Macaca mulatta: one gene and its partners. The protein of the gene in region 3 interacts with the protein of the main gene of each other region in a pairwise test. Links are inferred from orthologs where the notes say so. Each region holds a gene or a part of one and is shown on either strand. Other genes may lie near its edges. The genes, in order: TRIM42, SMAD3, MEOX2, KDM8, IGFN1, PRKAB2 and RPL15.

Evidence for each region.
Region 1: the proteins of MEOX2 (region 3) and TRIM42 interact in binary tests that used the Homo sapiens proteins (3 or more experiments, as listed by UniProt). The two-hybrid records come from large-scale screens. The link is inferred for Macaca mulatta from reciprocal best matches to the Homo sapiens genes MEOX2 and TRIM42.
Region 2: the proteins of MEOX2 (region 3) and SMAD3 interact in binary tests that used the Homo sapiens proteins (3 or more experiments, as listed by UniProt). The two-hybrid records come from large-scale screens. The link is inferred for Macaca mulatta from reciprocal best matches to the Homo sapiens genes MEOX2 and SMAD3.
Region 4: the proteins of MEOX2 (region 3) and KDM8 interact in a two-hybrid assay, tested with the Homo sapiens proteins (2 studies listed by BioGRID). The two-hybrid records come from large-scale screens. The link is inferred for Macaca mulatta from reciprocal best matches to the Homo sapiens genes MEOX2 and KDM8.
Region 5: the proteins of MEOX2 (region 3) and IGFN1 interact in binary tests that used the Homo sapiens proteins (3 or more experiments, as listed by UniProt). The two-hybrid records come from large-scale screens. The link is inferred for Macaca mulatta from reciprocal best matches to the Homo sapiens genes MEOX2 and IGFN1.
Region 6: the proteins of MEOX2 (region 3) and PRKAB2 interact in binary tests that used the Homo sapiens proteins (3 or more experiments, as listed by UniProt). The link is inferred for Macaca mulatta from reciprocal best matches to the Homo sapiens genes MEOX2 and PRKAB2.
Region 7: the proteins of MEOX2 (region 3) and RPL15 interact in binary tests that used the Homo sapiens proteins (3 or more experiments, as listed by UniProt). The two-hybrid records come from large-scale screens. The link is inferred for Macaca mulatta from reciprocal best matches to the Homo sapiens genes MEOX2 and RPL15.

The regions. Positions count from the first base shown.
Region 1 is NC_133407.1:43,688,760-43,692,259, forward strand, and holds part of TRIM42 (tripartite motif-containing protein 42), read left to right. Parts: intron 1-1,207; coding exon 1,208-1,905; intron 1,906-3,500.
Region 2 is NC_133412.1:44,588,101-44,592,386, forward strand, and holds the start of SMAD3 (mothers against decapentaplegic homolog 3), read left to right. Parts: upstream 1-1,486; 5' UTR 1,487-1,608; coding exon 1,609-1,814; intron 1,815-4,286. UniProt on the Homo sapiens protein: Receptor-regulated SMAD (R-SMAD) that is an intracellular signal transducer and transcriptional modulator activated by TGF-beta (transforming growth factor) and activin type 1 receptor kinases.
Region 3 is NC_133408.1:112,580,303-112,584,594, forward strand, and holds the start of MEOX2 (homeobox protein MOX-2), read left to right. Parts: upstream 1-1,492; 5' UTR 1,493-3,467; coding exon 3,468-3,981; intron 3,982-4,292. UniProt on the Homo sapiens protein: Mesodermal transcription factor that plays a key role in somitogenesis and somitogenesis and limb muscle differentiation. Required during limb development for normal appendicular muscle formation and for the normal regulation of myogenic genes.
Region 4 is NC_133425.1:26,749,625-26,753,581, forward strand, and holds the start of KDM8 (bifunctional peptidase and arginyl-hydroxylase JMJD5), read left to right. Parts: upstream 1-1,157; 5' UTR 1,158-2,390; intron 2,391-3,957. UniProt on the Homo sapiens protein: Bifunctional enzyme that acts both as an endopeptidase and 2-oxoglutarate-dependent monooxygenase.
Region 5 is NC_133406.1:58,868,472-58,871,971, reverse strand, and holds part of IGFN1 (immunoglobulin-like and fibronectin type III domain-containing protein 1), read right to left. Parts: intron 2,899-3,500; coding exon 2,757-2,898; intron 2,399-2,756; coding exon 2,099-2,398; intron 1,509-2,098; coding exon 1,209-1,508; intron 669-1,208; coding exon 495-668; intron 1-494.
Region 6 is NC_133406.1:118,946,336-118,950,599, reverse strand, and holds the start of PRKAB2 (5'-AMP-activated protein kinase subunit beta-2), read right to left. Parts: upstream 2,801-4,264; 5' UTR 2,665-2,800; intron 1,497-2,664; exon of another isoform or gene 1,451-1,496; intron 1,191-1,450; 5' UTR 1,168-1,190; coding exon 1,012-1,167; intron 1-1,011. UniProt on the Homo sapiens protein: Non-catalytic subunit of AMP-activated protein kinase (AMPK), an energy sensor protein kinase that plays a key role in regulating cellular energy metabolism.
Region 7 is NC_133407.1:24,558,344-24,562,281, reverse strand, and holds RPL15 (large ribosomal subunit protein eL15), read left to right. Parts: upstream 1-1,138; 5' UTR 1,139-1,147; coding exon 1,148-1,319; intron 1,320-1,718; coding exon 1,719-1,855; intron 1,856-2,465; coding exon 2,466-2,771; 3' UTR 2,772-3,562; downstream 3,563-3,938.

The DNA of each region.
Region 1 (3,500 bases), on a different chromosome or scaffold from region 3:
GACATTAGCTGGCTAGTAGCAAAGGGATGTAATTACAGTGGCCACATTTACTGAATGCTTACTATGTACCAGCAGTTAAGCACTTACATGGATTATCTCATTTAGACTTTATAAAAACCTCACAAAGCAAGTAGTATGGTGAGGTTTGATTTATAGTTAAGAAAACTGAACATGAGAGAGGTTTAAAAAAACATCTCAGAAGGTACAACTGTAAAGTGGTGCATTTTTATCACACACGCTCTGCCTCTAAAGCCCAGATCCATTACCATTACCTATTGGTCTGGTTGGCAGACCACACAGGTTCTAGGCTTGGCTCAGGTACAGACTTGCTCTGTGTTCCATCTATGTACAATAAATAATGTCAATGTCCTCCAGGGGAAAAAAAAAAGCCCTAAGAACACACCTGTAGTTGGACAAGATTGTATTTATTGACTCATTGCAACAAGTGAGAATATAAAGCATGGGAAAGTGTAAAGTACCTTGAAAAGTTATTACAGGATTTGAGCTCATGTTAGGTGAGGACACGGGAGTAAATCTATTGAATATTTTAATAAATCTTATCTAGAAGGTGGGAAGAACAGAATGACCCAAAAGCTGCTGGAAAAAAAAGAAAAAAGAAAAAAACAAAACAAAACAGTTTTTTGGTTTAAAAAAATCAACCAGGATAGGGGGATGTTGGGTCATTTTCGTGATTTAGACAACGTTCTTGTCTGAGTCCAAACATTATAAAGTGGCCTTGTTTCTGCTTTGATCCAAAGTCACAGAGTAGCCTTGTCTGATACTGTGTTCTTTGATATTACCGATGTCCAACGGAACACCAAGGCCTAGCTGACAACGCCTGACCAGTCTCTGCGGCTTTTCCCTTGCTTAATAACAGCAAGCAGTTGCAGCACACTGACTGTGTACCATGGACTGCTCTTAGTCCGTACGAGCATTAAACTCAATTTTAATCTTCTCAAGAAACTCTGACATGGGTACTAATTTTATAACAAGGAAATAGGCCGAGAGGTTAACTGGCTTACCTGAGGTCACCCCGCTGAAAAATGGTGGAGACAGGTTGAGAACGCAGGCACCTTGGCACTCAGCTGAGGCTCCTCACCACCACCCTAGACTGCCCCTCAGAAACCAAGAGTTCTTTCAGAGGTAGAGAGGCAGAGCAAGCTCTTGAGCCTGCCTCCTGAAACCCTGCCTTTGCTTCTCCTTTCAGCTCCAAGACTGCCCTGCGCATTGGGAGCAGCGATACCCAGCTGGATGAAGTGAAATCAGTACCAGCCAAAAGCCACCTGGTGAACCACCTCAATTGCCCCATGTGCAGCCGGCTGCGCCTGCACTCATTCATGCTGCCCTGCAACCACAGCCTGTGTGAGAAGTGCCTGCGGCAGCTGCAGAAGCACGCCGAGGTCACCGAGAATTTCTTCATCCTCATCTGCCCAGTGTGCGACCGCTCGCACTGCATGCCCTACAGCCACAAGATGCAGCTGCCGGAGAACTACCTGCGCGGGCGCCTCACCAAGCGCTACATGCAGCAGCACGGCTACCTCAAGTGGCGCTTTGACCGTTCCTCCGGGCCCATCCTCTGCCAGGTCTGCCGCAATAGGCGCATAGCGTACAAGCGCTGCATCACCTGCCGCCTCAACCTGTGCAACGACTGCCTCAAGGCCTTCCACTCGGATGTGGCCATGCAAGACCACATCTTTGTGGACACCAGCGCCGAGGAACAGGACGAGAAGATCTGCATCCACCATCCATCCAGCCGCATCATCGAGTACTGCCGCAATGACAACGAATTGCTCTGCACCTTCTGCAAGTTCTCTTTCCACAATGGCCACGACACCATCAGCCTCATCGACGCCTGCTCCGAGAGGGCCGCCTCACTCTTCAGCGCCATCGCCAAGTTCAAAGCAGGTCCTCCCCTTCTCCACTCCTTCAGCCTAACTTCTAGTTCAGGAACACATGGGGAAGATGGCGTGGGGCAATGTGCTAAGTGAGTGCCTTAACAGATTCCACCTAGTGGAGCAATCAAGGCACCAGGAAACACTGTGCTATCCTGCAAGTCACTATCCTGGTGTCCGCTCCTGGTAACCACTACCAGTCACTTAACTTCTCCGTGCCTTGCTTTTCTCACCTATGAAATAGGGGAATAGTAGTGACCCCCTCACTGGATTGCCATGAGGATTAAGTGAGTTACTCTATGTAAAGAATGCAAAAAGTCATATGACAAGTGCATAAAGATTCTATAATCTTGATTATAATCTGCATGTCCTCAGGTCTCATTTTCTCTTTTGGAAAATGAAGACTTTGATCCTATAGTATACTGACGTTCTGTGATGTTCTAAGGTGTTCTGTCACTGTTGGATCGCTTTGGTTTTCCTAAATGTGCAGGGGGAAAGAATTAAGTCAGTGCTGAGAATTATCTCAATGTTAAATTTCCCTCCATGAATTTTTTCCAAAACTTGCAGATGCCAAAGTAAATAAACTGGCAGCAAACATATAACAACAGGGACAATTCATAACTAGCCAACGGTATTCTAGTCAACAGCTTGTTTTTCCTCTGCATTCTTGTTCGTGGTGATTTGGTTGTTTTATATTGTTACATATAATATTGCTTTAAGTGAAATAATATTTCAGTGATGGTTTCAGTGATGGAACCAAGCATAATAATATTTCACAGGATTCAGCAAAGAGCCCATAATTTCTTGTTTCAGTGACAAAACCAAGTATAATCATATTTCACAGGATTCAACAAAGAGCCGCATAATTTCTGGGTATGTCTCTACCTGGTCAGACATTAGAATCCAAAAGATTCCTTTAGTGCCCTTTACCCTCAGGAATAGTTCCTTGTATAAAGGCCAACTTTACTCAGGCCTGTGGAGCACATTTTGTCTAATCTCAATAGTGCTACAGTACAGGCATTAAAATGTCCTCCATGGATAAGCCAACTGTGGTTCAAAAAAATAATTAGGACAGGCAGCTAATAAGTGGCAGATGCAGTCTATTTGACTCCAGTGTCCACCATTAATTCCACAACATTTATTTGACAATCTACTCTGTGCTAAGCAGTGACCAGAATCTGAAGATGAAGAGATTGAAGGGGAGGAAGGGGGAACCACCACCACCATCCATGGTCTGTTTCATTAAGGAGTGGCCTGCAGTCAGTTACCAAAGTGCACCAGATCAACCCAGGCCTTTCCCATTGTCAGATCTGTTAGTCTCCAACATTCAGATAGGCCTATACATTGGGAGGGAGGCAGCTTTTCCTTGAGCTGCACAGAAAGGTCCCACTGGATATAAAGGTGGATCCAAAACAGACTTTGCTAATGACCACATCACCCCTGACTTCTCAGCAGCTTCAGGAATACCTCGAGTTTTCTCAGTTGCCACATACCTGGAAACATTGCTTGTCAATTGACATTTATTTAATTCTGGAACCACCACCAGGGAATACTTCATATTAAAGGAACCCTGCAGGAGCCACATGTTATCAAGAAAATGGTAGAACT
Region 2 (4,286 bases), on a different chromosome or scaffold from region 3:
CAGACGCCCCTGAATTCTTTTGGTGGGGTGAAAAGCCCCGGAGCTCCCCAATGTGCCAGTTGGTTTGTTGTTGTTTTGCTTTTTTTGAATACACAAACTCTCCGAATACTCTTGTCTTGCCCCACTTTTTTGTGAGTTCATTGCTCTGGAAACAAAACTCTTCCATTTACTGGGAATTATCAAATTTCCGATCTTTCTCTATCAGGAGATCCAGCAACACCGTGTTATGTAAATTTCTTCCAAAGATAAATTCGAAAGCACCTCCATTCATTCCTTCAAGAACTCAACAGATGTCCTTGAGGCTCATTTTCTGCCGGGCACTCAGTTCAGAAGGCTCAAAGGATCCCTGGCTCCAGCCATTGTCCAGGTTGTCACTGGTGTCCCCAGCTCTCCATTTCTGAGGACCCACTTCTCCCCCCCCCACACCCTCCTCCGCACACTTTCCCAAGGCTCTCGGCCGGTGTGATCTCACCAACGAGAGAATAAAAACAGCCCAGGGGCGCGGGCGCGGGCGCGGGCGCCGGCCAAGAGCCTTGACGGGGATCAGCCAGCGCGAGGCCAAGTGCGGGCCCCAACTTCCTGGGCCCGGGCCTTCCGCGCGCCCCCTCTCGGGCTCGGGTCCTCTCCAGGGTTCACTCCCGTCCGGACGGCGCTTACTTGCTGCGAGTCCAACCCTCTCCGGCCCGCAACTCCAACCGAGCCGCACAAGTGTGGACTCCGAGAGCGGACGCCTCGGGCCGCGCTCAGCCCTCCCGCCCGAGGCCCCTCTCGCCGCGCGTTTCCCAGGACTTCCTCCCCGCGCCCGCCCGACTTCAGGTCGGGGCCGCGCGGGGTCCCGCGCGCTCCAGCCAGGACTGCCGCCGCCCGCGTTGCCCACGTGGGCGTGCTGGGCACGGGGTGGTGGCCGGCCGGCCGGCCGGCCGCCCTCCCCGGAGCAGGGGGCGGGCAGGGCGCCCGCGGGAGGAGGTGGCGGGGCGCAGGGGAGGAGGCGGAGAGCCCCGGCGGCGAGGGGGCGGTGACAGCGCTTGGAAAGGAGGCTGCACGCGGATTTGCATGAAACACAGACTGGGAGCGGGCGGGAGCGGGAGCGCGGCGCACGCCCCGGGCCGGCCCAGCCAGCGAGCGAGCTAGCGGCGAGCCGGGAGGAGGAGGGTGGCGAGGCGGCGAGGCAGCAGAGGCGGAGGGATCTGCGCATCAAAGCTAGCAAGGCGAGCGAAGTTTGGCCGGGGGTTGGACTTTCCTTCCCGGAGGCGGCACCCAAACAGCTACCCCGTGCGGAAACCCAAACTTCTGCTGCCACTTGGAGTCTCGCGGCCGCCGCCTCCGCCCCGCGTTCGGGGCCTTCCCAACCCGGCACCGCTGCCGTCCGCCCGCCCGGCCGCCCTTCTCTTCGCCGTGGGAGCCGCTCCGGGCGCAGGGCCGCGCGCCGAGCCCCGCAGGCTGCAGCGCCGCGGCCCGGCCCGGCGCCCCAGCAACTTCGCCGAGAGTTGAGGCGAAGTTTGGGCGACCGCGGCAGGCCACGGCCGAGCTCCCCTCTGCGCCCCCGGCGTTCCGTCGAGCCCAGCCCCGCCGGGGGCGCTCCTCGCCGCCCGCGCGCCCTCCCCAGCCATGTCGTCCATCCTGCCTTTCACTCCCCCGATCGTGAAGCGCCTGCTGGGCTGGAAGAAGGGTGAGCAGAACGGGCAGGAGGAGAAATGGTGCGAGAAGGCGGTCAAGAGCCTGGTCAAGAAACTCAAGAAGACGGGGCAGCTGGACGAGCTGGAGAAGGCCATCACCACGCAGAACGCCAACACCAAGTGCATCACCATCCCCAGGTGGGGGCCCGCCCGGGGGACCCGGGGACACGCCGACCCGGCCCCCTGGCACTGCGGGGCCGACCCATTGGGGTTGGAGATGGGAAGAGGGAGAGAGAGGGAGTGAGACTGTGTGGGTGCGTGTGTGTGAGAGTGGGAGCTAGAGCGCGGGCAGGAAGGGGGTGGGGGGACCCCAAACAAAACCATCTCTGCATTTGCAAAGATCAGAGCCCGAGGCTTCCACACGGTACTCTGGCTTCCAGACCTCACATTCCCTTTCCACCTCCGGGAGGGGAGAGCGGGTTGTTGCGGGACTCGGCCGCCCCCACCCTGGGGAGCTGGGGCTGGAAGTTGAGGCCCGCTTTGTTCGGCTCCGCGGGCCGGAGCCCCTCCTCCGCCGCCGCCGCCTCCCGCCCCCGCGGCCCGCGCTCGTGGAGGTGGTGGTGTCTTTGCGTTTCTTTTCTTCAGTCCGGTCTCCCCACTTTCCTCTACAGGAATGCGGTCCGTACAGCTGGGGCTGTGGGTGAGGAGCGGGAGCCTCGTGATTGACAGATTCCTTCTTCGTTCTTTCTTTGCCTTCGGGATTAGCATTTTTATCGAGTATTTTTAGACTCGGTTGTGCCAGTCTCCCGCCCCCTGAGCACGCACGCACTTTGGTTGCAGTGCAATGCTCTGACTTCCAAATGGGAGAGACAAGTGGCAGAAAATAGGGTCTTCTCCCCCACCTCCCACTCCCCATCCCGACTCTTTTGCCCTCCTTTTGGTCCAAGAGATTTTGAGTCCGTGCAGAATGAGGGAGAGGGGCGGGCTGGAACCGGGCAGATAACAAAACACACCCCAAAGTGGGCCTCGCATCGGCCCTCGCATTCCTGTAGAGCCCTCCTTCCCAAAGCGCGCTGCCATCTGTCTGCATCTCCTTTATCCTTCCTGTTGCGCGCTAGCTAGGTCGGGCGGGAGCCCACAGATGGCTGATAGAAAGGGTCAGTGACTTCTCTCCACTCCCCCAGGGCCTTCCTTAGCTTAGCTGTGCCTGGCTGGGAATTGGGGGTGGGGATACCTTGACTTCCTGTCTCTACCTCTCAGCCTCCTTTGATTCTGAATCAAGGGAGAGAGTGTGTGTGTTGGGGGCTGGCTGTTTTGGGGGTCCCAGGCTGCAGAGGAATGAGTAGAAAGCACCAGGGACTGTAAGCCAAAAAAGGGATTGTCATCCCTGCCCCTGGGCCAGGGTGGACTCCATCCTTGGCCACCTGCTTGGGGCAGTTGTACAAGGGCTGCCAGGCGAGTCAGGCAGGCACAAAGCAACATCTGTCCACGGGAACCCAGGGCAGGCCTCCCCTGGAAATAAATGCCACATATGGTGGGAGTGCAGACTTAAATTTTTTTTTTTTTTTTTTGACTGGGTGGATCCAGTCAATAAAGGGGGAGGGAAGGCGGTGTGCTGTCTGGGGAAGTCCCTGGCCGTGTGATCGGGAGCCAGAATTGACTTCAGAGGAGGTGGTGTGATGTGATGGTCAGAGAGACCTGGGATTTGGTTCCAGCTCTGGTTCTTAATTCTTCTGTATTCCTTCGGTGGGGGTGGAGAGGGTAGAGTGGGTGAATATGCTACTTCTCTGTCTGGGGAGGGGTCTGTCAAACCTACCTTCCTCTTATCTGCCTGGGTGCATTGAAGACAAGTGCTTTATGCATTGAAACAGGAAAAAAAATGGTATCAATTATAAAACAGGCAGCTGTGAAAAGTGTTTCACGGTTTACAAAGCACTTTCACATGGTTTTCTGAGGTCCTCAAAACAAGATAGAAAGCAAGCAAGCAAGCAACCAGCCCTGGAAAGTAGATAAGGTTGTTAGGCTTAAGATTATCACGTTTTTAAAGCAGAGGAAACTTTAAAAGAGAGAGGTGAAAAGGCTTGAGTTGTAGACGTGGGATTCTGACAGAATGTGCTCTTTCTGCTGACCCATGCTGCTTTATACTTTGAAGATCCTGAATACATTCTTTGCTGAATGCTAAAACTGTGTTAGCTTGGGGAGGGCCCTGTGGATGTTTGTATGTGCGGTTGCTTCTTTAATCTTTGGGCTGGTGATCGCTTGGCAGAGAGGCCCTGCTTTCCCTTGCCTTGGTAGGAGTTTGTCCTCTGTGGGGCCATACCTTTGGCCTGCCTTTTCCTCTTCCAAAGTCCTGCTGAGACTTTGGAAGCCTAAGACATGTGAACGCTTTGGATGATTCTGAGGGTTCAAGCCAACCTGCCCTGTGGCCTTCTCGTGACTTTGTTAGGACTGAGGCATCTTCTGCCTGCCTGGATAGGACTGAATGCAAAAGCAGATTTTTTTTTTTTCATCTTTTTTTTCAGTTAGGGAAACCCAGTTGCTTGGGTGGATCCAGACAAAATGGATTTTCATCCTTGGATTTTGTGCCCACGCCTCTGGGTCACCTTGTGTCCCTTGGCAACAGCTGCTGCTGTTTTGGTCGTGGGCAGAAAACTAAAGGCCACGTCTTGG
Region 3 (4,292 bases):
TATAATGTGTTACTGGATATTGAAACCTTCCATGAAATATTGGCATTAATATAACTTTTCTTCAGGAAAACTCAAGTATATTGCAAATATTAGATAAATACTATGTCATATATAGTTTTAAATGATTGTTTATATAAATTTTATGATAAACTTTATAATTTTTACCATTCTTGATATCATTAAATAAAGAGGCATCTTCTCAATATTGGATTTTATGGATGTGAACACTGAAGTAGCTGTTATAGGAAAGCTAAGGATTTTTTTTTCCTGTTTTTACTACATTTTAAAAATTTCTCTAAAACCTAGAACATAAAATTCAATATTCTATCTTATTCCAAATATTTGAATAAATTAATATTTAAAAATCTTTATGTAATGATTAATACATATTTAGAAATCCAGAGAAAATTAAAGTCCTATTTAATTCTGGAATTTACCAAGACCTCCTTTTTAGTCCTTCATTTTTTTCCTTTCAAATATTTTCCTTATGTTGTGTTTTCTATAAGAAAACTGGACTTCATAATTTTTGTTGATATTAAATGTTTTGTGTCTCCAATTAAAAAGACCTGTCTTACTACCTTTGCTTTCATTGCATGCCTTTGCAATGACTTCCTCCTTTTCTAACCTTTCCTAAATTTTTCTTCTAGAAAAAGTTCTAGAGCCTGACTGACTGGGGCAGGTTGTAGAGAAACTTCTGGACAGATTGTTAACATCTGACACAATGAGTGAGAAAAAATCCAGCACAGTCACTGGGCAGGTTTAAGAAGAAGTGGCAGCTCTGGGAGATGAAAGATTTGTGTGTTCTTGTTGCTAGTTACCTGCAACACTCTGGTTAAATTCAAATCCATTCATTTGGTAATTGCTTAGCTTCCTCTAAACCAATGTAATGCAAACCAAAAGGACCATTGTGGATGTTTTGGACTGATGTCTGCAGATCATGTGTAATTTTAGTCTGTCTTGTCTGACATTTTCCACAATGCTTTAGTTGACAGCATTGTATTATGTAAATATTTCTGGTTAGGCTTATTGAGGTGGTTGCCTAAATCTCACTTTAAATAAAGCCTTTAATGCTTTCACCTAGAATCCATAGAGAAGCTACACAAGTTGGGGAAGTTTAGTGTTGCTCTTTGTACTTTAACTTTTAATATCAGAGCACATATTGAAACCATAAACACAATGAAAATACAAAAAATATTCCGACGATATTAGAGGACTATAACTCCCCCACCTCTTTTTATTCTTAAAGAGCCAAGGGCGTGGGGAGTGGCAGGAAGAAATATTCTTAAGATCTAAGTCCTGGACGCCATCCTGCTAGTGCTTAAAGCCCCTAGAAACGTGCAACCTGAACAACACCCCCTTTCGAAGTCTAAAACAATATTAGATTCCCAAAGTATCGGCAAAGAAATTCTTACCGTCAAAGACTTGCAGCAGGTTTCAGCTCAGACCCAGACTGAAAAGCTGAGCAGCTGGTGAACAAAAGTTTTAGTTTTTTTTTTTTTTTTAAACGAAGTCTGCAAAACTAATTTCCCTCAAAATAGAGCTCAATTTCCGTTAAAGAAAGCAGCGCTTACAAATCTCAGAATTCCTGATCAACCCCCACTCCACCCCACCTCTAAGCAATAGAAAACAATTCGATCTTTCACACGGATGTTTTTGAGAAGCCACTATTCTACAGCATGACTTACAAGAAAAGAAGATAGTGAGGCTTAAGCAGGGGGACTGGAAGAGGAGGGGGAAGGTTCTGCTTTGGGGACACCTCTCAAAGATTAATCAATACTTTTTCCTAATTCAAACCAGATGTCTAGCCCAGTTTGCTGTACCCATTAATCCCACTAACAACTTCAAAGACCTGCTCATCATCCTCTGGACACCTGAGACAATGAAAATAACGGGGCGACACTGCTGGTGGTGCATTTGGGGCCCCGGGCGGAATAGGTGACTACAGATATTCTCCTGATGCGACAGGTCCCAGATGGGACTTGACTGTTTCTCCTGCTCATTACAGAGCCACTCACTTGTGTGTAAACGACTCTGCCCCCAGCGGACCCTGTCACCCGCCAAACAAGTGGCAGTCTCAAAGCCCTGCCATCGTTCTTGCATGCTTACTGGAGGCAAATTTTCTAATTTATTTTCAGGGATGCAAAGTTATAGCCAAGTGCCCAAGCTTAGTGAATTTTGGGAGCTATCGAAATGTAAGATTTCTCAGTAAATGGGACGGTGGTGATAAGGGATGCGATTAGCGGATTTATTTTTGAGCGGAAGAGAGTGGATTTCTGTAGGAAACTGCGGAGACCTAGGCTAGCTCCTGAGGGGAAAGGCTAGATATGTGCGTGCAATCTACACATCTCATGTGACCGGGACAAAATCGCCTGGAAATATTTTTGACCCAGGAAAATTTCTTCTTGGTGGACAAGTGGCTAGGAAATTGAGCGGGACCAGGAAAGAGGGGGAAGGGAGACTCCACCTGGCATCGCACAAGAGGATGCCAGGGAACAGGCATCTGCAACCCTTTCAGACTCACGCCTTCCTCCCACCCACCCTACCGGGTCCCTCTTGGTTCCGCACTGAGAACTGCCTTTTCCAGGCCATGGTACTCATCCCCACAACCTCAGATCTGGCGTCCCAGCCCATTAACAATCCACCCACAGAAACCAGCTGTGAAAACCTAGGCGCGCTGCGGCGCCCAGGGCACTGGAAGATGCGAAGTTTGAAAAACTTCGAGGATGCGCCTAACTAGCTCTGATCTTTTCGTTTAACCCTATTACTTCTTTTGGGTTCCTGAAAGGCTAGGCATATCCCTAGCTTTTCTGCAGGTGACAGTTCACAAATGACACTGACAAATCACGTTTCCCGGAGAGGAAAGTGAGTAGGTAGGAATCAGGGTGCTGGGTTGGGGGTGGTGTGCGCCGCGCCCAGGCCTCCAGAGTCTGGAGGGCAGAGCTGCTGCCCTCCCGGGCGGGACTTAGGCACTGGCGTGCCGCTTGTAGCCCTGGCAGCCGGCAGTGCTGGGCGGGCGTGGACGCTCTGCGTCTGTCCAGCAGGCGATAGGAAGTGGAACTGGGGAGCGCGTGGCGCAAACTGAGCGGGAGTTTTGGAGGGAGTTTGCATGTGGTCAACTCTGGGCTCCTAAGCCGGCCCCCAGCTCACGTTACACTCTATTTATAACCTCTCAGAGCCATTTCCCCCTGAAAGCAGTTCTCTGGGACCACCTTCTTTTGGCTTCAACCTCTCCCACTCTTGACATCTGAGTAGTTCAGGGAAGCTCTTCCAGGTCCGACTGTTCATATGCAAAGGAGACTGGCCGCTGGGGCTCAGAACCGGGATTATCCGAGCTCTGCAGAAGTGCACGGCTATTGCTTTGGGAGGGTAAAAAAAAAATCATACAGTTTCCAGTGAAAAGTGACAGAGGGTGGTGGCCTTTGGAACCGTCCTGAAGTCTTCTGCCTGGAACCTGAAACTTGCATGCTATGGAACACCCGCTCTTTGGCTGCCTGCGCAGCCCTCACGCCACGGCGCAAGGCTTGCACCCGTTCTCCCAATCTTCTCTCGCCCTCCATGGAAGATCTGACCATATGTCTTACCCCGAGCTCTCTACTTCTTCCTCATCTTGCATAATCGCGGGATACCCCAACGAAGAAGGCATGTTTGCCAGCCAGCATCACAGGGGGCACCACCACCACCACCACCACCACCATCACCATCATCAGCAGCAGCAGCACCAGGCTCTGCAAACCAACTGGCACCTCCCGCAGATGTCTTCCCCACCGAGTGCGGCTCGACACAGCCTCTGCCTCCAGCCCGACTCCGGAGGGCCCCCAGAGTTGGGGAGCAGCCCTCCGGTCCTGTGTTCCAACTCTTCCAGCTTGGGCTCCAGCACCCCGACTGGGGCCGCGTGCGCGCCGGGGGACTACGGCCGCCAGGCACTGTCACCTGCGGAGGCGGAGAAGCGAAGCGGTGGCAAGAGGAAAAGCGACAGCTCAGGTAAGGGCTCACCAGGCACCCTCGAGAGTGCGCGCCGGCCTGGAAAGGGGGCGGAGAGATGCCAGGGGAGATTCTCGCACTACAGGGTGGCAGCGGGGAATATGGGAATGTGTTGCCCTTTGTGGCTTCCCGCGGCCAAATTCGGCGGTGAAGCTTTGGTCCTGATATTTGGGGGACACGTGTTTATCCGAGAGCAATGCATATACAGCCAGCAGCTCTAAGCTCTCCAAGGTCCTAAACTAGTTTACCAGAAGGTTGATAAAAAAGGACAAGTGGCTGTGAAATCGATTGCGAAGCGTGACCTTCCATCC
Region 4 (3,957 bases), on a different chromosome or scaffold from region 3:
GTGTGAAGAGACCACCAAACAGGCTTTGTGTGAGCAATAAGGCTGTTTATTTCACCTGCGTGCAGGTGGACTGAGTACAAAAAGAGAGTCAGTGAAAGGAGATGGGGTGGGGCCATTTTATAGGATTTGGATAGGTAATGGAAAATTATAGTCAAAGGGGGTAGTTCTCTGGCCGGCAGGGGTGGGGGTCACAAGGTGCTCAGTGGGGGAGCTTCTGAGCCAGCAGAAGGAATTTCACGAGGTAATGTCATCAGTTAAGACAGGAACAGGTCATTTTCACTTCTTTTGTGATTCTTTAGTTACTTCAGACCATCTGGATGTATACACGCAGGCTTGGGCTCAGAGGACTGACAGTTTCCCTTTTCACTTGGTTCTCATCTTCTCTTGTGTTCCGCCATGTCAGACGTGCCTTTCACCTTCCACCATGATTGTGAGGCCTCCCCAGCCATGTGGAACTGTGAATCCATTAAACCCCTTTTTCTTTGTAAATTGCCCAGTTTCAGGTATGTCTTTGTATCAGCAGCGTGAAAGTGGATTAACATACTCCCTCAAATAGGGACGATCATGATCATTACAATAGCTACAATCTTAATATTTTTAAAGCACAGTACCTAGAATCCACTAATCTATGAACTGATCTTGAGCAAGCCTGTTTCCTACTCAGACCCCAAGCTCAGTATGAACATAACTTTCCATGCCTCTGTGCAATGCTGCAAAAGGCGGAGCCCATAGGAGAGTGTGCTCAAAACACAAAGTCCCAGTGACCCCGCACCACTCGACATCAAAGCAAACGTGGCAGGAGTGTGTCCTCTGGCCACTTGCCTTCTCACTCGAACAGACTGTGGATGTAGCACTTGCTCGTGGGTAATTGTGGATCTGACTTTCCAAAAGTACAAGTATGTGGCCACTTTAATCACTGAGCTTCAGTTTCGCTCTCTGTAAAATAGGGAGAACTAATAATCCTAGCTGCAGGGATTAAATGGTGGATGCAAACAGCCTTGTACGAAGTTGTTATCTGTGCAGAAGAAAAAGCGGGTGTCACTGGCATGGAAGGACCCGGAGGATACAGCCCAGCCTTTCTCTGTCTTGTCCATCCCCTGGTCTTTTAAACGCGAGTGGGGCGGGGCCACGGCATCGATCACTCGGCACTCCTCTAGGCACTGCGTCGTGATCAGACGAGCGGTGAGCGATCGATACTCCTATGCTAGCGTCTGACTCCTGGGGGGAGACAGCCGCGTCGTCGGACCAAAAGCAACGAGTAGTCGCCAGCCCAAAGGCGACTCGACACCGTCCCAGCTGAAGAGAGGTTAGTCTGAGCAACTCGAGAGCGGAGTCAGCTCCAGTTCCTCAGAAGTGGAGAGGCCGGGTTCAGAGGCATAGACCGCGCAGGCGTCATGTGAAGCAGCCAAGCCCGGCCTCGCGCGTGCGCCTTGGAAAGCCCGAGGCTTGCTCGAGTCGGCGCATGCGCTCTGAGCCGGCCTGCGCTGCTGGAGCGAGGGAAAGGCTCTGCGCGTGCGTAGTGCTCGTCTTCTGGCAGTGGTTTGGCGCATGCGTGAGGGCAGGCCCTTAAGGCCGGCTGCTGTGCGCTTTCGCGGTTCTAGGCGTCTAGTCGGTGTAGCCCTAGTGCGCCTGCGCGGATTGTATGCTCTGGTGTGTGTGTGTCCGCTGGTTTTGGGCAATCAGCCGCTGCCTCTGGGCTGCAAGGCCGGCTGGGAACGATTCAGCCGTCAGGTCCCAGATAAGAGCCGCGAGAAATGTAGCTCCGGGAAAGGCGCTGAGGAGGAAAGGGGGTCTGAGGCCTCGGGGGGCTCAAGGCTAATGCGGGGTACGTGGGACCCTGTAGGGCCTGGGTGTGTGGCTGCCCTAAGGAAAGGTGCTTGTAGCTCGGTAAGACTTAACGATGGGCATCGGTGCGTTTCCCAGCAACGGTAAGAATCGCCGTGCTCGGGAGGACACGGGAGCAAGCCCGGGGTCAGGAGGTGCGCGGGCGTTGGGGCCACACGGATGACCCAAACACAAGACTGTGTGCCCCTTCGTGAGCCAAAGGGATCCTTGTGCCATGAATAAAGCTCTCTGGAAAATTCCAAACTTCTCTGGGAAGTTTTACAAAGCTCTTGTTTTTGCACAAGTTTTGTGGAATACTGCCATAATAACATTGAAGAGATTAGATAACTGGATTGCCTGTTCCAAGAAAGCCCGATGTAGGCTGACCTGTCCTGGAAGCCCCCTTTGAGAGGCTTTCTCATGACCAGCATGGTGCTCGCAGAGTGCCCACCCTGAGACCCTCTGCAAATCACAGTGAGGCTCTCGGAGAGGCCGTTCCACCCAGCCACCTTAAAGAATACTCAGGGAGGTGCTTTAGAGGAGTGGATGTTTAAAAATAATTTAAGGCAGGGCGCGGTGGCTCATGCCTGTAATCCCAACCCTTTGGGAGGCCGAGACAGGCCGGTCACTTCAGGTCAGGAGTTCACGAGACCAGCCTAGCCAACATGGCGCAACCCCGTCTCCACTAAAAATACAAAAATTAACTGAGTGTGGTGGTGCACACCTGTAATCCCAGCTACTCGGGCGGCCGAGGCAGGAGAATTGCTTGAACCTAGGAAGCAGAGGTTGCAGTGAGCCGAGATTGGGGCACTGCATTCCAGCCAGGGTGAGAGGGGACTCCGTCTCAAAAAAAATAAAAATAATTTGAAAGAATCCTGGGATGGCAGGGCAGTGGTTTCCAAGAGGGATATATCCCGTAACCTACCAGGAACCCACTTTGCTAGTGTGCATAGTGAATTCTGTCTGGATGCTGAATTTATAAAGTCCAGGCCCGAGTCTTCAGACTGTTATATACAGGCTATACGTGGCTCCTTTTTGTTTAATACGGCCAACAAGAAGCCTTTTATAAGATTCATCTTAGTCTTGTTTATAAATCCAGGAGAAAAACCACTCTAAGAGGTTAGGACATGACAGCCTATATTCTGACCTTTGCAAGGTCATTTCATACACCAGCAGACAAGACTTTAAGGAGCATTTAGGGGCTGAATCAAGTCCACTCAAAAGCTGTTTTGTGCAACCCACGCTTGATCTTCCCCCGAAAGCCGTTCCAGGTGATGAGGCCAGTTCACAAACCAGGACATAAGACCACTCAAGCTGTTTCTATACCTGATCCCCCAGCCCCCCGCCAAAAAAAAAAAAAAAGCCCTCCCTGGGCCGGGCATGCTGGCTCACGCCTGTAATCTGAACTTTGGGAGGCTGAGCCAGGCAGATCACCTGAGGTCAGGAGTTCAAGACCAGCCTGGGCAACATGGTGAAATCCCGTCGCCACTAAAAATAGAAAAATTAGCTGGGTGTGGTGGCAGGCGCCTGTAATCCCAGCTACTCAGGAGGCTGAGGCAGGGGAATCACTTGAACTCGGGAGGCAGAGGTTGCAGTGAGCCGAGATGGCACCATTGCACTCCAGCCTAGGTGACAGAGTGAGACTCTGTCTTTAAAAAAAAAAAAAAAAAAATGCCTTCTCCAATCAACAAGAGGTCTTTGAAGGCCAATACCTGTTGAGCTCTGGGAGACTGACTTGTAAAGTGAAGATACGAGGCCACTCAGGCTTTTTCATATGGCCCACATTTGGGTTATGGTAGGTGTGAGTTTGCCTGGAATAACACCAGTTTTTTACTGATGCAGACATAAATATTAATAGCATCTTGGTCTGGATGACCCACATACACCTGGCCACTAGAAGGCTATCTGTACGACTCCCAATAAACCCTTTTACGTGGAGCTCTTGAAGGCCAGTGTGTGGCACCACTCTCAAAGACTGCTTCACACATCTTTTTTCTTCTTGCAGATAACTGGCAAGTCACACATCTTATTCTCGACTCCCTTCTTTGGAAGCCTGTTTAGCCTTTTGTGTGTGTGTTCTTTTTTTTTTTTTTTTTTTTTTTTTTTGGGAGGGACGGAGTCTTGCTCTGTCAC
Region 5 (3,500 bases), on a different chromosome or scaffold from region 3:
GATCTCAGAATGCAGTTTGTTTCTTAGGAAACTACTTAGTGGGGCAGGGGACCCTCTTCTCCACTTCATGGATGTGGAAATTCAGATCTAGAGAGGAAGTGAACTGTCCAAGGTCAAGGCAAGAAGTGGAGGGGCCAGGGCTAACAGCTTCATCTCTGGCTCCCAGCTGGGATTTCTGAATCAGGGCTTCTTGACCTTAGCATGATTGACATTTTTTTTTTTTTTTGCCAGATACTTCTTTGGGATTTTTGAGAGGAGGGGGTGGGTTCTGTCCTGTGTACTGTAGGATGTTTAACAGCATACCTGACCTCTTTGCACTAGATGCCAGTAACATCTACCCTCCACCCAGTTGTGACCATGAAAAATATCTCCAGATACTGCCAAACCACCCTAGATAAGAACCACTGTATTAAACCAATCTGAACTGACAAGTTCCTGGCATCCTGGAGCCAGGAGCGGTCTAAGGAAGCTCTGGAAGCCAGGACAATGCTCACCAGGCACCGGCTGGTCGTTCACTGCTGTCCAGGTGTTGCTCCCCTTCTTACGCCTCTCGATCAGGTAGCCCAGGATGTGGGCACTGCCAGGGCCCCTAGGTGCTGTCCATGTCAGCGTGATGCCCTGGCTGGAGGCTGACAGGATGGCTGGCGCGGAAGGGGCCTTGGGGAGAGCTGGGGGCAAGGAAGATTCCAGTCAGCCAGAGGCCTTGAAAGGTGCCGGCTCACGGGGAGCCCCTGGGGGTAGGAGGCACGGGCATCTGGGGCAGGCCACACTCCTCCCGGTCCTGGCGAGTGTCGGGGCTGAGCCAGCCCACCCTAGGTCAGTGTTCCAGCTATTCAAGGGAAGGAATGAAAAGACAGAGAAGGCACCGTGGCACCGTGGCCTCGGAGCCTAGAGCCAGCCCTGAGGCCCCTCCGCCTCCGGTCCCCTGATAGGATGTTGGAGGTGGATGCCCCTCTCTCCCTGGGGCGTGAGACAGTAGGCTTTGCTGGCCCATACCCTCACTCCCGGAGACTCTGTAAAACACTTCCTCATCTGGGTGCCAGATCCGAAATGCAGCTGAGGGAAGGAGTCTCCAGAGTGCTATAGAAGGGCCTCCAAAACCCTGAGCACAGGCTGGTGTCATTCAGCCTCTGGGACAGCCTGCCCTCCCTGGCACAGCGGGGAGCCCAGGAGTGTCCTCCACCCCCAGCCCCAGACTTTTCTCTTACCCTCAGGAGCCACCAATGTCTCCTCAGACTCCAGGGCCTCGCCAGCCCCCTCCGAGGTCACAGCCCGCACTCGGAAGGCATACTTCCTGCCTGGCTCCACATGGGCATCCGTGAAGGTGGTGCTGTCAGCGGGGGCCTCGCCCACCTTCAGCCAAGTGCTCCTGCCAGCCTGCCGTCTCTCCACCACGTAGCACTCTACAGGCTGGCCCCCATCATCCCTTGGGGGCCGCCAGCGGAGGCAGACACCAGCCCTCTGGCAATCCTGAACCTCCATGGGGCCTTGTGGGGGATCAGGCTTGTCTGGGGACCCACAGAGAAGAGCAGGAAGAGGAGGGGTCAGAGGAGCTAGATTGGAACGGCGCCGCTCCCCGCCCCCCTTTGCCACTCATCAGTGGATAAGCCTGCAATGGGGCAGACTGTCCAGAGAGCCTTGGGCATTACCCAGAGGGTCACACACTCTTGAGACGTCCCCACCCCCAACACATATGTGCACCCAGGGATGTGCCATGGAGTGCACCAGCCCGTCCCAGTTCCACCATCGGGGGGCTGGTATGGGCACCTGCTCGGCCCACAGCAGTCCTACCTTGCTGGCACCACTCAGGGCTGGGGACCGCCATCCTACCCAGCAGCTTCCTGAGGGCCCAGTGCATTGGGGTCAGAGAAGCATAATCGGCTCCCCCCCACCCAGCAGGAGCCCGGCACTGTGTTGATCTCAACTGCTTCTTCCTAAGCAGTCTGAGCAGAATTCGGGGTAGGTCTGGATCTTAAACAGCATGCAAATGAGGATCAGAGCCACCAGAGATCACACCCCAGGCCTGCCCTTGATGGCAGGGAGGGCCCACAACCCTGGGGACTCTCAGGCCTTGGTTGGGGGAAGATGGGGTTGGTACCTATGACTTTCAGGGTGAGCTCGGCCTGCACAGAGCCTCCCTCACTCCTCAGCGTCACACTGTACTGGCCACTGTCCTTCCTGCCTGTGCTGGGGAGGCACAGCCGTGTGTAGCGGTCCCCCAGGTCCACCTGGGCCTCCTTGTCACCACTGCCCACCACCTTGGCCCCGTCCTTTCTCCAGGCAGCCTGAACGGGGAGGTGGCTCTGGAAGGGGATCTTCACTGTCACCGGCTTCCCAGCCTTGACCACCAGTGGCTCTCTCAGTTTCTCTGTCACATCTGGAGCAATGGTAGGGGAATCTGGAAATAAAACAAGAGAGTCAAAGACCAGAGCACTGGGCACTGGGGAATGCAGAAAGGAGGATGCAGAGAAGGAAGTCTGGGGGAAGATTAAGGAATCCCCTGCCCTGCCACAAAGGGAAGGGGCTTCATCTGCAGCGGGAGAGACCAGGCTTAGACCTCATCAAGGACTTCCTGACAAGGAAAGAGCTAAGATGCTGGAATAGACAGAGTATGAGTTGGCTTTTTAAATCATCTTCTCTGGGGATGAGATTAGATACTGGCTGCAGAGTAGCCACAAATTCAGGTGTTTTAAAGCAAGGCATATCACCTGGTACAAAGAGACTATGGGACAGGGCAGGGCAGGGCTAGGCCTTACCCTGGACGGTCAGAGTGGCCTCACTCTGCTGGTCACCAGCTACAAAGGTGTACCTCCCAGCTTGGGTCCCCTGCACGCGCGCGATGAAGAGGCTGTGCACGAGACCATCTTGCTTAAAGATGACTCCATCCTGGGCGGTGAGCTGGAGACAGGGCCACAGCAGGAGAAGGTCACCCCATTCCCATCCCCGCTCCTCCAGGCCAGCTAACCAGAGCCCTTTACAGATGCTGGGATCCTGATAACAGCTGTGTGAATGGAATGCTTACTGTGTGCCAATGCTCTCTGTGCTTAGCACCTTATTTAATTGTCTAACAATCTTATGAAGTAAGTGCTATTATTAGTCCCACTTCATAGATGAGGAAGCCAGACTGTTCACCAGCTTGCTTGAGGTCACATAACTGGTAGTGGCAGAGCCGGGATCTGAAGCCAGACCTAGCTGATACTGAGCCTCATGCCCTGAGTCACTTTGATGTTTCTCTTGGGGTGACAGCTTTAATGGAGGACAGGGAGGTTGTGCAGGGAGACGAGGGCCCCCTTCTGGTAGGGATGAGAAGATGGCATTTATACAAGCCTTTGAAGGATGGGTAGGATTCAGCAGGTATGGGTATAGAAGAGGCGTTTTGGATGGTGGAAGAACAAGGGGTGTGCTGCAGGGCGTAGGATACACATCATTTAAAAATCCAATTTTATTTTAAACACACCAAGTTATTGGCTATTTAAACTTCTCCTGAGGTGGATACATTA
Region 6 (4,264 bases), on a different chromosome or scaffold from region 3:
CCCAGTTCCCTGGGAAGTGACGAAATGATAGGAAACATCAAACACACCCCAATCTCCTCAAGCCCTCCATTTTTCTATCTCATCCAGTCAGTCTACCTGGAGAAACTACATGTATTTCATGCTGACAGCTCTAAAAGCGATTAGAAACATTAGAATGGTAATCGCTGCTATCAGCTCCATCTGTCCTTTCTTACAGAGTGAAAAAACAAGTTGGCTCTTCCTGAAAGTCCTTGGAATTGAGAGCAAGGTCTTCAAGGCAGCTATGGATTGTCGCTTTTTAGCCACGCAACATTTTGAAGTACTACTGGAGAGTAAACAAGTCGTGGAATCATTGGCTCTTCCACCTGCGGAGCAGCAGCGGGGCGTGAAAGAGGCACAGCCTCAGCCACCACAACTATAAAGTATGGGACAAAAATTAAGCAGTCAACCAAATGATGTCCTTAATTGATCCCCAAGACTAGGGGAAAGTATTCAATAAGCAAGTAGTTGCTGCTTACAGCCGTGCCAAAAGGGAAGAAGATCACAAGTGCAGAGCTGCTAGAAGGGCAAAAATGATACTGATACATAGAAATTTTCAGAAAAAGAATTTCATGTAGCCACCTCAGGGCAAAGGTGAGAAACTACCACCTATGGTCAGCAACTCGTGCAACCTACCCTCTGAAGTTGTCCACCAGGGCTAACAAACTACAAATTCAGCAACGCTATAGAGGAGAGCCACTCGTGCATGTTAGGAAGAACCAAGGATCGGGGATGTCTATTGTCCCCATCCTAAAAATGTGGCCAACAGATTAGTCAGAACACCAGGAAAACAAGAACTCCGCCTCTTTATCCTATTTTGAGGCGGCACTGCAAGAGGGATTACCATCCAACACCTCTGTCCCCGAAAAATCCTTTTAATTCAAAAAACCATAGCCCGGTTCGGCGCGGCAGAAAAGAACCAAGAAAGGGAAGAGGAGCCCGGAAATCAACCCGCTGCAGTACTGCCACCAACTGCGGGCGTGGGACGCTTACCTTGGAGTCGGGGAGGCTGAACACGCTGGGGTCGTCCGTACTGCCCACCATGATCTTGTGCTCCTTCCCCGGGGCATGACCGCCTGCGCCCTCGGAGCGTGCAGCCTTGGCACCGTGGCGCTCCCCGGACACCCGGTCGCTGGTGGTGTTTCCCATGGCTGCAGCTCGTCGGGGACCACCTACCGCGGAGAACCACACCGGGCTGGGAACACCTCAGTAGCCGCGTCAGGGGCGCCCCCCGGCCCCGCCCATACGCCTTGGGACGGGGCAAGGGATTTCCCCGCCCCAGGGAGGCCAAGCCCCGGAGCCTTCTCCCTCCTGGCCTGCGGGAATGCCTGCAAATACCCCGGTGCCCTCGCTGCCCCTAGTCAGGAAACCCGCTATCGGGACTCCCCCGCGTCCCCGCGCTCACTGCCAGGGGCGCCCCCACGCCAGTCACCTCGGGCGATGCGCTCCCTCCTCCAGGGACCACTGAAGTGATGACTGTTCTGCAGATCAGGCCACCAATAAAGTTATTGAAATTGAAGCCGCACCCCTCGCTGGCGATCAGCGATTCCTCCTAAAATGGCTACAAGGCCGGCGGCGCGGAGTCGGCCCCGTGCGCGTTCCCTGCGGCCTGCAGCCTCGGCGTCCCGGGCCCGCCGGCCTCTCTAGCCGCCGCCGCCTCGATGGTGGGCAGTCGCACGCAGCCTCCAGCGCCAGGAGGGGGCGCCAGGCAGGGCTTGTGCCGCCTGGGGAGACTGCACCCGGGATAATTGGAGCGCTGGGCCTCTGAGACTACCCGGCGGAAGGGACGTTCCCACAGGACACTCGGAGGCCGCCTCCCTGGGCTCCGGCGCTCGGTGCCGGGAGAAGCGACGCGGCTTTCTACCCCGCCTCAGGTGCGCCAGCACGTTTTCTGGGCAGCATCTGTGTGTTAGGCGACGGGAGAGGGGGGTTCCTTACAGGGAATAAGAAAACTGAAACTGACTTCCAACTGCAGGCAGAAGGAAGCAATGGCCATTGCTGGAGGTTAAAACTGTTCTGGCCGGGCGCGGTGGCTCACGCCTGTAATCCCGGCACTTTGGGAGGCCTAGGCGAGCGGATCACGAGATCAGGAGATCAAGACCATCCTGGCCAACAAGTTGAAACCTGGTCTCTACTAAAAGTACAAAAATTAGCTGGGCGTGGTGGCGCGCGCCGGAAGTCTCAGCTACTGGGGAGGATGAGGCAGGAGAATAGCTTGAACCCGGGAGGTGGAGGTTGCAGTGAGCCGAGATCGCGCCACTGCACTCCAGCCTGGCGACCGAGCGACACTCCGTCCCTCCGCCTCCCCGCCCCCCCCCCACAAGAAAAACCTGCTCAATAGGGAGCGACAAGGAAGGAGCTGTCAGCCCGACTGGGGTCGCAGGGAAAATTCAAGATGGCGTATTTAGGAGCTAGACCTTGACAAATTAGTAAAATGTTAGTCTTAGGAGAATAACGAAAAGGCTTTCCTAGTCTAAGAAACAGCATATGCAGTGAGAAACCTCAGAAGAAATAAAATTCAAGGAAGATGGCGACAACGAAAACATCAGAAGGAACCCTAAAGGTATAAAAAAGGCAAAGACAGTCGTAGGGTTGGGAGGGATCCAGGTTTTTTATGAAAATTAGTGGAATCCCTAAGGTACTTACCTTTGTATTAGAAGTATTTGCATGTCGCCTTCTCTACTAGAAACGTTTATCTGTGTTACACAGACCAGCAGCGTTGGCATCACCTGGGAGCCTGTTAGAAATGTAGAATCAGGCCCCATCCCCAGGGTTCAGAATCTGCATTTTAACAAGATCACATTAACGTGTGTGAGAAGCAATGCTTTGACAGCTGGCAGAGAGCAGATCCAGATTTGATACCTTTTCATATTCTGCATGTACCTTGTACAGAGCAGGCTTTTGTATTTGCGGAATGAAGGATACAGGAATACTGTTTACTGTAATCCATTTCTATCAAGATATGCCACTTAGGCTTAAACACGGCCAATGATGGAGAACCCCAAGTTACATAGGCCACCCTTTCTGAGTGAGCAGCTCTATTTGTTGAAAAGTTCATTTTTATATTATGAAGTTGACAGCCCACTTAAGTACAACAAATTCACTACTCCCCCATTCTTTGCTCTGCCCCTTATAAACTCATTCTTTGGCTCATAAACCGAAGACAGTTTACAGGAAGGAAAAAAAAAAGGTACGATTTTACTGCAACTTCTTGCTCACCCCTCTGAAATCTTTACTGTCTGAGTACATTCTTTTTGGTTATCCCTACCTTTCTCCCTCCACCCCTCAATTCCTTACCATAGGACACTGAAGCAAGGCCCTTCAAGGTGTGATACATTAAACCTTGACTTGTGTAGTATTCAGTTTTCTGACCCCAAGGTGGTTTCACCATGCCAAATAATATGTCCTTGGTATGTATTTCCTTGCAGTAGTGAAATCAGCTTAGCAGAAACAAACTAACTATGTTAGCCAATGGAAAACTGAAGGAGAGAAATAAACTGTTTTTACACAGCTAAATGGAAATGACTTTTGTATTATCTCCTTTGGAAGATTATCCATGACACTGTTCTGCCCTGCTCTGCTCTAACAACATTTGTAAGTTACTCAACAGTTAATAATAAAAGTCAATTTTGAATATTGCATGTTTTAGACACAGAACAAATGTAATATGACACTGTAGGAAGAATGAATTCTCCTTAGTCCCAAATTCCTTTTTTTTTCTTAGATTCAGGAATAAGTAGGTAAAGATACAAGATCTTCTTAACCAGTATCAGTATAATTGTTCCCTTTAGATTTATTGCTGTCACCCCAATGCTCTTCTTTCTTTTTTTTTTTTTTTTTTTGAGACGGAGTCTCCCTCTGTCGCCCAGCCCAGGCTGGAGTGCAGTGGCGCGATCTCGGCTCACTGTAAGCTCCGCCTCCCGGGTTCACGCCATTCTCCTGCCTCAGCCTCCCGAGTAGCTGGGACTACAGGCGCCCACAACCGCGCCCGGCTAATTTTTTGTATTTTTAGTAGAGACGGGGTTTCACCGTGGTCTCGATCTCCTGACCTTGTGATCCGCCCGCCTCGGCCTCCCAAAGTGCTGGGATTACAGGCGTGAGCCACCGCGCCCGGCCCCAATGCTCTTCTTTCTAAAGGGAAGGAAAAGAAGGGGCTAATAGGAAAAGTAATTGGTGGGGGTTGTCCTGATGTTACTGTGTCTAGGACATCATTGCCACTGGTCTCCTCAGATCGACCATTCTGCCT
Region 7 (3,938 bases), on a different chromosome or scaffold from region 3:
CTGAGCCCGTCGTGCGGGGGCCAGAGAGCGACAGCGCAGCGCGGAGACGCAGAGACTACGCGGGAAGAGAGCCGGCGGTGCGTGAAATAAACCTGTTCTCTCCTCTAACCTCAAAGACAGCGGCTCACCGCGGTACGCGGTCACCGGCTTTGGAACCTGGACCCCAACTTGCCTCTTCTCGCGGCGGGACAGTCACCGACGCTCGCTTACCGAGGCCTCGCCGCCCACTCTCGCACCCCGGCCGCTCAGGCTGGAATCCTGCGGGGCAGGGGGCGGGACAATAGGGGCGGCTGCGCCCCACTCGGCAGAACTCCGCCCACCAGGCGCGATGCTGGAACTACATGTCCCATGAGGCTCTGGGAGGCCGCAGTTTTCCACCGGAAAGAGGTTGGCTGAGGTGGGGGAGGAGCCCAAAAGGGATTGTGGGAGTACAGCTCTTTCCTTTCCGTCTGGCGGCAGCCATCAGGTAGGCTGCGTTGGAGATCTTTGCTCTTCCATCCGCCGTTGATCGTCTTCCTCTTCAACCATCCAGGCCCGGGGACCCTGCGTCCTCCGAGATAGGTCTCTCTCCTGTGCGGCCAGAGTTTAGTCAGGATGCGGGACAGCGAGGGGGTGGAGAGGCGGCCCCCGGGGCGGGTTGAGCGAAGATGTGATGGCGGCGCGAATTTGAGCTGGGCCCGGATCCTGGAGGAGGCGTGGGGCTGACGAATGGGGCGCCCGGGACAAGGCAGCCTAAAGAGAGACTGCTGGTTGGGTGGGCTAGATGCATTTTCCTCGAGAGTTAATCCTCGGCGGCCGCAGCAGTACGTTGCCCTGTTGTGTCAGCGGCATCTCCTTGCAGGTTCCCCTTGGGGACGCCGCCTGCCGCAGCCACCCGCCCCCTTGGTGCTCACCTCTGGCTCTGTTCATTCGCCCCACCAAAACGTGCCGAGCACCGCGCCGGGGTTGCGGAGGTGACTGAACGCGGCTCCGTGGGCGCATTGGTGGGGGTTGGGCTAGCTGTCCCCGGCAGTTGGTGCAGAGCCATTTTCATTCCCGGCGGTTTCCTTGTGCTTGTTGGGGAACTAAGATGGACGAGTAGGGTCGTCTTATTGTACTTCAAGCGGATGATATTTAATACCCAGTTTGATTTCACAGGTAAGCCAAGATGGGTGCATACAAGTACATTCAGGAGCTATGGAGAAAGAAGCAGTCTGATGTCATGCGCTTTCTTCTGAGGGTCCGCTGCTGGCAGTACCGCCAGCTCTCTGCTCTCCACAGGGCTCCCCGCCCCACCCGGCCTGATAAAGCGCGCCGACTGGGCTACAAGGCCAAGCAAGGTACGTGATCGACTGCCTGGATGCTAGGATAAAGTTATATTCCAGGAAAGTTGGAAACCAGCTGGTAGGAAAACACTGCTGCCCCAGTGTCTTCTCATAGGGCTTTGGCAGAATAGAGCTAGCAACACTGGTCAGTTACTTTATGCGCTTGTTGTCTAAAGTGGCAAGTGCGTCAAAGGTTGCAAATCTGGATGAGTTCAGACTAAAGCAAACAGTGTGTCTCCCTGTGTGAGTAACCTAAAGTACATTGACAGACTGGGATGTGTTTTATTTTTTTCCATTAGATAGCATTAACTTAGTGTTGAAGTATTTTTGGTGGAGTGTTAATGACAAGCCATTGAGTCTTAAGCCTGATGGGCTTCCTATAAAATCACTAATTTTGTGTGTGTTTGTGTGTAGGTTACGTTATATATAGGATTCGTGTTCGCCGTGGTGGCCGAAAACGCCCAGTTCCTAAGGGTGCAACTTATGGCAAGCCTGTCCATCATGGTGTTAACCAGCTAAAGTTTGCTCGGAGCCTTCAGTCCGTTGCAGAGGTAAATGGTTTTGAGTAGCAGTTATATTGAATACTGCCTGGGGACGGTGGGAGAGACATTTAAGCAACTCTTCTGATTGTACTTAACGTGAACTGTCTCGTGTATAAAATAGGGTTTGTGATTTTTACTAATCTTGGTAAAGAGTAATTGCTTGAAAGACTTGTAAGTCGTTATTACAAATGCGTGTGTATATACTGGAAGTACTTGTGGAACCTAAGCTTTAAAGGCAAGAATATGCAGAAGAGACCAAATGTGGCCTGCACAGCCTAAAATATATACTAGATATTTTTAAAGCTAAACGTTGCTGAGCTCTCAGTTGTATTGGAAAAAGATAAGGTCCTCAAATCCTAAATTTTGTTACCCAGGTATTAGTAAGGACTGGAGTATTAAGAGGGAATGGTGTGTTTCAGTCTATATTTATGTGTGTTGTTTTAGCAAGTTTACTTTATCTCGTTATACTTGTGATAGTCTAGGGAGAAATGCTTCGTAAATACTTGAGTAGTAAAAGACTCCTGTCTGGTGGTGAACTAGAGTTGAGAATTAAAATTCTTTCTGACTCGCTGCTATGGGCAATGTGGGAGACTGACCTTGGCCTTTTTTCCTATTCTAGGAGCGAGCTGGACGCCACTGTGGGGCTCTGAGAGTCCTGAATTCTTACTGGGTTGGAGAAGATTCCACATACAAATTTTTTGAGGTTATCCTCATTGATCCATTCCATAAAGCTATCAGAAGAAATCCTGACACCCAGTGGATCACCAAACCAGTCCACAAGCACAGGGAGATGCGTGGGCTGACATCTGCAGGCCGAAAGAGCCGTGGCCTTGGAAAGGGCCATAAGTTCCACCACACTATTGGTGGTTCTCGCCGGGCAGCTTGGAGAAGGCGCAATACTCTCCAGCTCCACCGTTACCGCTAATATAAGTAAAGTTTGTAAAATTCATACCTAATAAACAATTTAGGACAGTCATGTCTGCTTACAGGTGTTATTTGTCTGTTAAAACTAGTCTGCAGATTGTTTCTTGAATGCTTTGTCAAATTAAGAAAGTTAAAGTGCAATAATGTTTGAAGACAATAAGTGGTGGTGTATCTTGTTTCTAATAAGATAAACTTTTTTGTCTTTATCTTATTAGGGAGTTGTATGTCAGTGTATAAAACATAACTGTGGTATAATAGGTTTAAAATAAATTCTTTAAGAGAACTGAAACTAGCCCTGTAGATTTGTCTGGTGCATGTGATGAAACCTGCAGCTTTGTTGGTGATGGCAATGCTGTGCTGGTTTACTTTCAAGTGGCTGGGTTTTTTTAGTTTGACAGGTACAGACTTTTTTAACTGGGCTTTAGAAAATCTGGGTTAGCCTGAAGAAAATTGCTTCTGCCTTCATAGTACCATTTTAAATTCACATAAAAAAGGTGAAAGCTCCCTAGTTCAGTGCTGTGGCTTCATGTAATTCAATGATTCGTGGTAGTGGTATTAATACTGGTGTGTTTTGAAATTGAATGTGAGATAAAATTAGCCTTAAGATTGGTAAGCTAGCAATGAATGCTAGGGTGGGAAGCTGGTAAGCCAGTGGCCGTTAGATAAATACCTTTCAAGTGTGAGAAGTCAATCCTAAAATATTTAACCGTAATGCTAATTGTGATCATTATGAATCCTTTCAGTCACATTAGAGGGGAAAGTAGTTGGCTATAAGTACCTCATTCTTAGTCCAGTCAGTCTTAAAAACATCTTGGGTTACCCATTCTGTGCACTCCCATAGGCTACAGAAAAGGTCATAAGCGCATGGTTTGCAACCGTATGTGTTTTGTGCAGTTACTTCTCTTGTTCTTGGCCAAACTACCCTAAAAATCCTTACCATTCCACAAAGTTGGGCCATCACTTGTGCTCCCAGTTTGAGTACACCACCACATTGCATTTCTGTTTCTATCATGTCTTCCAGGAAACTAGACTGTTTCCCAGGGTGGATTTGAGTATAAAGAAAAGGTAGACAAGGAATTGCCCAATTCTAAATTCTGACTTTACTGACTTAAATCTAAATGCTCGTTTCTCTGAACCAATTTTCTCTGATCTTCTCTAGGGGTTTCAA